Linked DNA regions of Saccharomyces cerevisiae S288C. The protein of the gene in region 1 binds, or shares a complex with, the protein of each later gene. Each region holds a gene or a part of one and is shown on either strand. Other genes may lie near its edges. A codon is read from its position in the direction of its gene.

The links.
Region 2: the proteins of PEX4 (region 1) and PEX22 are in contact, whole or in part, in a crystal structure (PDB 2Y9M), measured with the Saccharomyces cerevisiae proteins. Residues at the interface, in NP_011649.1 of Saccharomyces cerevisiae: Leu103 (codon at 788), Ser109 (codon at 770), Asp151 (codon at 644), Asp153 (codon at 638), Ile154 (codon at 635), Asn156 (codon at 629), Ile157 (codon at 626), Cys160 (codon at 617), Asp162 (codon at 611), Met163 (codon at 608), Ser164 (codon at 605), Ala165 (codon at 602), Gly168 (codon at 593), Ile169 (codon at 590), Lys171 (codon at 584), Tyr172 (codon at 581), Ala175 (codon at 572), Glu176 (codon at 569), Arg179 (codon at 560); in NP_009346.1 of Saccharomyces cerevisiae: Glu84 (codon at 1,130), Val85 (codon at 1,127), Val86 (codon at 1,124), Thr109 (codon at 1,055), Lys110 (codon at 1,052), Asn111 (codon at 1,049), His113 (codon at 1,043), Lys114 (codon at 1,040), Ile116 (codon at 1,034), Tyr117 (codon at 1,031), Cys118 (codon at 1,028), Asp119 (codon at 1,025), Ser120 (codon at 1,022), Asp122 (codon at 1,016), Gly123 (codon at 1,013), Leu124 (codon at 1,010), Ser126 (codon at 1,004), Cys127 (codon at 1,001), Arg129 (codon at 995), Arg130 (codon at 992), Leu131 (codon at 989), Lys133 (codon at 983).

Annotation. Positions count from the first base shown.
Region 1 is NC_001139.9:754,710-757,989, reverse strand, and holds PEX4 (E2 ubiquitin-protein ligase peroxin 4), read right to left. Parts: upstream 1,095-3,280; coding exon 543-1,094; downstream 1-542. Other genes in the region: CCR4-NOT core subunit CAF130, read right to left, coding at 1-220; prohibitin subunit PHB1, read left to right, coding at 1,538-2,401; FHN1 (Fhn1p), read right to left, coding at 2,740-3,264. UniProt on the Saccharomyces cerevisiae protein: Catalyzes the covalent attachment of ubiquitin to other proteins. Essential for peroxisome biogenesis. Required for UBC4-independent ubiquitination of PEX5.
Region 2 is NC_001133.9:40,240-43,555, reverse strand, and holds PEX22 (ubiquitin-protein transferase activating protein PEX22), read right to left. Parts: upstream 1,380-3,316; coding exon 837-1,379; downstream 1-836. Other genes in the region: ACS1 (acetate--CoA ligase 1), read left to right, coding at 1-675; GPB2 (Gpb2p), read right to left, coding at 1,655-3,316. UniProt on the Saccharomyces cerevisiae protein: Involved in peroxisome biogenesis.

The DNA.
Region 1 (3,280 bases):
GAGCCTCAAGCAATAGGTTAGAGCATATTTTCTGATCATTAAACATGGTTTCATTATATAAGATCTTCTCCAAATTTTCCACCGATGGAACATAATTTTTATCTTTCAGTAACTCTTGTAAGGGAATAAAGTCCTTAAAATGAACCGAATCACCTGAAGAATCTTCACTGGCTAAATTTTGCCTTTCAGCATAATTAGTAGCTGCTTTCTTTTTCGTCATCACTTTCTTACGTAAGTATGTGGAGTTAAGAGAGAAAAAGTGTTTGAAAAAAGCTCCTCAACGATCTACTGGGCTGCCAAAATAAAATTCAGCGTCAATGGAAAAGCTAACTAATGTAGATATTGCGTGCACTACTTGTCAAAAATTCGTGCTCCTTATTAATATATGTATATGTATATACAAATGTGTCAATACATCAATAGTGCAATTTGTTAAAGTATTTGTATTCATAAATTGGCGCTGCCCGGGTAAGGTAGAAATTGCATCAGATAAAAGTGAGGGCCCATTGTTTGCCATTCGAACACATCCATCCTACGTGGTATCAATGGTTGTTGATCCGCTCTCTTTCTGCTAGGAAGTACTTTACAATCCCCTGATAGGCACTCATATCGCCACAGCGGATGATATTACCAATGTCTACGTCAAGTGGAGAATCACAAACGGGTTCCCTTAGGAGTCTCCAAACAGCATGAACACAGTGTAACAAATCCCATACAGGAGTCCACTCCTCTGGTTTAAGGATGTTCAGACATATTTCTCCTGTGGCTGATTTAACATTGCAGTGCAAAATATTGTTCTGCATAAAACTTATCTTTGGTGGATTCATGGGGTAGGAACTAGGGACTTCTATTAGTATTCGAAACTGATGATTTTCATAAGGTGTGTCTGACGGCCCAGAAATTATAGCTTCCCACTTGCTCAAGTCGGTTTCGTCAATCGGGTTAAGTGACTCGATTATCCCCCGGTAGGGGTTCGCTATGGGGTCATCACTGGCCAATGTTTTCAGTATGACTTTGTACTCCTTCACGATCCTCGACATACATGTATCAGACGTATAGCTCCTACGATTCTCAAGAATCCAGAAGTTTGGCATATTATGTATAAAGGCGATGATTATGTATATTTTATGTTGTCTCCAGTAAGTGGCAGCATAACCCGGCCAGTCTGCGCTGCATGCTGTGAAGCAGTAATATGCGATATATACCACATATATTCCGCTTCCGTTCAGGATTTCGAAAAGAGAAACTTCAGTGAATGACTATGACTACATAGTTGGAGTCTTAGACCATTGCAAATGAGTTATTCAAGTATGAGAGATCAACACTGATGAGAATAAACTCGTCTTCATGATGATACGGGTAACGCGAATGTATCGCATCAATAAATTTCAGGGAAAGGGAGTTTGACGATCTCATGGATGCAACGGTTGAGGTATATAATATTAAGCAGAAAGAAGAGGAAAAAAAATAAATCGGTAAACCAACCATCAACGGTACGAAACTTACATTCAAAATCAATAATTTACTTTAGAAAAGAATGTCTAATTCTGCCAAACTTATCGATGTCATCACCAAGGTGGCGTTGCCCATTGGTATAATTGCTAGCGGGATTCAGTACTCCATGTATGATGTGAAGGGTGGTTCTCGTGGTGTTATTTTCGACAGAATCAATGGTGTAAAGCAACAGGTTGTGGGTGAAGGCACTCATTTCTTGGTGCCTTGGCTACAGAAGGCGATCATATACGATGTGAGGACGAAACCAAAGAGCATTGCTACCAATACTGGTACGAAGGATTTGCAAATGGTGTCATTGACCTTGAGAGTCTTACATAGACCAGAGGTCTTACAGCTACCCGCAATATACCAAAATTTGGGTCTCGATTACGACGAAAGAGTGTTACCATCTATCGGCAATGAGGTTTTAAAGTCTATAGTAGCTCAATTTGATGCTGCTGAGTTAATTACTCAGAGAGAAATTATTTCTCAAAAAATCAGAAAAGAGCTTTCTACGAGGGCCAACGAATTCGGTATTAAGTTGGAAGATGTCTCTATCACTCATATGACGTTTGGTCCCGAATTCACGAAAGCAGTTGAGCAGAAGCAGATTGCACAGCAAGATGCCGAAAGAGCCAAATTCCTTGTCGAAAAGGCAGAGCAAGAGAGACAAGCTTCTGTTATCAGAGCTGAAGGTGAAGCAGAAAGTGCTGAATTCATTTCAAAAGCCTTAGCTAAAGTTGGTGATGGTCTGTTATTGATTAGAAGATTAGAAGCTTCTAAGGACATCGCTCAAACATTAGCAAACTCATCTAACGTTGTCTATTTACCAAGTCAACATTCTGGTGGTGGTAACAGCGAGTCTTCGGGATCACCAAATTCCTTGCTTTTGAACATTGGCCGTTAAGTCTGGAAAAGCTATGAACACAATAAACTAGGGGAGAAAATTTTTTTTTAATCATATTAGAAACCTGTATATATGGGGGATAACAACGCCAATAACATATTCCATCTTTCCATTTAGTTACCAACACGAATACGTATGCTATCAATATCGTAACTTAGTTTTTTATCATTTATATATATACATGGATGAGCCTACGAAAAAACTAAAGCACATTCATGTATCACCATAATATTATTTTAGAAAGAACTTTTTTTGTTAAATTTATTTAATGCAAAGGTTATATAAAGAACGATCAACGAAAATTGTACGCGAATTGCCTTTTTTTCAGTCCAGTAGGCTTAAACCTGGGAAATTGTAGGTATGCCCATTTGTCTTCTTGCCCTCCTTCTGCTGAATCCGGTATTAGAGCCAAATCCACCATTTTGCATCATACCCATCGTGGCCACAGTCACTTTGATGAGGAATAGAAAACAGGAAAAGTAAAAAAACGCAACAGCAGCCTGAGATTGATGACATCTGGAGCTTGAGCCTTGTATGATCTTATTCTGTTCCAGATATGTTTTGTTTTTACACGAATGGCATCTTATACCTACAGCCAAAGCGGTGGCTGCTACAAACGTAAATATGAAATTTAAAAAATCCAAAACAAGCAAAATTGCTGGGTATGTTAATGATGTCCAGAAATTAGCCAAAAACCCATATAATGAATCCGTAACCAGACCATAAACGGCGGCAAACATACAAAAGTTCACTCGAGAACTATGCTTTGTCTGTGTACCTATCAGGCCGCTGATTAGACCTATGGATATAATAAGAAAAACAGCATTTATGATGCGCACTAAATTATCTGCAGCTGATAGCATTTATTATTGTTGTTGC
Region 2 (3,316 bases), on another chromosome or scaffold:
AAACCGGGTTCTGCCTCATTCCCCTTCTTCGGTATTGATGCAGTTGTTCTTGACCCTAACACTGGTGAAGAACTTAACACCAGCCACGCAGAGGGTGTCCTTGCCGTCAAAGCTGCATGGCCATCATTTGCAAGAACTATTTGGAAAAATCATGATAGGTATCTAGACACTTATTTGAACCCTTACCCTGGCTACTATTTCACTGGTGATGGTGCTGCAAAGGATAAGGATGGTTATATCTGGATTTTGGGTCGTGTAGACGATGTGGTGAACGTCTCTGGTCACCGTCTGTCTACCGCTGAAATTGAGGCTGCTATTATCGAAGATCCAATTGTGGCCGAGTGTGCTGTTGTCGGATTCAACGATGACTTGACTGGTCAAGCAGTTGCTGCATTTGTGGTGTTGAAAAACAAATCTAGTTGGTCCACCGCAACAGATGATGAATTACAAGATATCAAGAAGCATTTGGTCTTTACTGTTAGAAAAGACATCGGGCCATTTGCCGCACCAAAATTGATCATTTTAGTGGATGACTTGCCCAAGACAAGATCCGGCAAAATTATGAGACGTATTTTAAGAAAAATCCTAGCAGGAGAAAGTGACCAACTAGGCGACGTTTCTACATTGTCAAACCCTGGCATTGTTAGACATCTAATTGATTCGGTCAAGTTGTAATGATGATTTCTTTCCTTTTTATATTGACGACTTTTTTTTTTTCGTGTGTTTTTGTTCTCTTATAACCGAGCTGCTTACTTATTATTATTTCACCTTCTCTTTTTATTTATACTTATAATTATTTATTCTTTACATACTGTTACAAGAAACTCTTTTCTACATTAATTGCATAAAGTGTCAATCAGCACATCCTCTACATCGCTATCAACAACAAATTTGACAAACCTGCCTATATCTTCAGGAACGACTGCTGCATCGCTACCACCACTACTTGTGAAGTCCCTGGAGTTCAATATGCACTGAAATTTACCTAGCCGTCTTACACATGACCATAATCCATCCATGCTATCGCAATATATGATTTTGTGTTCGTTTTTCGTCTTGCGAAAGGCATCCCCAATGGCTTGTTTCATTGATCCATCAGTGTGGCTCGTAGGTACCAGCAAAACCACTTCATCAGCGGCGTACTCCTCCCACTTTATGGGCAGTCCTTGTATCGACTTGCTCATTATAATACATTTGCTCTTCCTTGCCTTTTTGTTCTCTTTTACTGAATCACCCTCTGGAGGTCGTGCCCCATTATCTTCCTTTGCACTTGTCACCTTTTGATATATATAGTAGGACGTGACCAACACTGCTATAGCTGTACCCACTATTCCTAATGTTCTTGTTTTGTTTATTCTACTTCTTGATGGTGGTGGCATGTTTTATATCTTCTTCTTCTTTATTCTTCATTATTGTTTCATTGTCTATTTCATCAGCACAATCTTCCCTTATATTTTATTTTTTTTTTTTCGATTAATTGAATTAGGGGACTATGAACCTAATTGTTAATTTTTTGCCAAAATATTTCGCTGGTATTGCGAAGGAGATTATTCTTTGAAAGACAAAGTGTTATGTGACTATAAAACAAAACTGAATATATTATATTCTACTACTAAACAAAGTTTACAAAGTGAAAGCATTGAAAACTGCCTTTTTATGCACTAGGATTTACGCTAGGAAAAATACTTTTCGTTATGGTACCATGTAAATATATTTCTTTTACATTGCTCCGTCTAGATATCAATCCGCCAATCAAAATAATACTTTTGTCACATTGCAAAGAAGTGCCACCGACACCAACTACTATATTTGAATTTGTATCTTCATTTTCGCTATCTTGTCTGTCCTCATCGTCTTCCTTCTTGGACAGAGTAATTTTATGTTCTTCCCAACACTGCGTGCTTAAATCAATTGTGTTCAAAAAATTACCACCCAACGGTAATGTATCGACCTTGCGTTTTCGAGGAGGCTCATCATCATTCTCCGAGTAAAATTGGTCAACATCCTCTTGTACCATACCACCTATACATACACATATTCGTCCAATACTTTCCATTCTGTGGCCAACGAGACCTACGTTCACACTATCCAATTTTTCATCACCGTCTTCGCTCGAATCTGCCTTTGCAAATGTCTCTATTGGAGTCCATGTCTCACACTCTAAGTCCATCAACCACATATCATCAAGAACGTTGAGACCGTTAGACCCACCATGCAATACAACAGTTTTACCTACTGGCTTCTCTTGGCTTAAAATTAATCTCTGTCTCCCTATCGCAGTCATTGGAATAGATGACGATTTTCTCCCTGGATTGACTATATAATTTTCCAAATTATCGTCCATATCGGGATCAAAGCTCGCAGCACTTGCGCTGCTGGCCGAGGCACCAGCTTTGGGCGATTCTTGTGCCGCAGAGCCACTATTGAAAAGATCTTGATGCGTGCCATGAACCATCATGGGGAAAACCGGTTTAGGACTAACAACGCGATCCTGTGATATATATGACGGTTTTAAAACAAAATGGTTTTTTAAGTTGTTCAATAGTCTCATGTCAAGAGAACTCCTATCCATTAACGAAGTCCCATGAACAGAAAAGGCAGAAAAGGCTCTTTCTTCGGGCCAATCCGATTTGTCCTTTTCGCTTGGCGTCAGTAGTATCGCGTTAGCTGTCTCTGAAAACTTACAATAACCTTTTTTACCGCGACGTATCACGGGTATCTCTATCTTCCACAAATCATTCATTGCTTCGTAACGATCATCACCGGTTTGTCTGTAACCACCAAATATTATAACCGTGTGCACAGTATTATGAGGTAATGATGAAAGTACTGCTGCTTTTTCAAGCCGCCCGGAAGTGATGCTGCTACCTTGTTTCATGGAAGCACTCCCCATTTTATGAATTTCGTTCATGCTTGAAGAATGAACGCTAGCTCTCCTATTTGGATTATCAATAGAAATTTGTAAGTGACCAAACCTCGATGACATTGTCGGATATGCATTATATTTGGAAGGTTGTACTATGATATCTATTTTAGTGAACTTGAACGACATAATATCGAGTATGTAACCAGTGTTATTCACATATAATCTTTTCTTGAGATGATACTTCCCATTTTCATCACCACGGGTTTCTGTCCTGATTTCAAATCCGCCATAAAAGAAAATATGTCGGTCCGTTAATTTGGATCCTTGAACACATAGCAATGGAGGCGGTATATAACCCCCCATTTTAGGTTTGCTAAACCGGCATGATGGTATAGAAGCGACATAAAGATGAGGATTATTGACCATTGATGGATTATTAATCACTTGAGG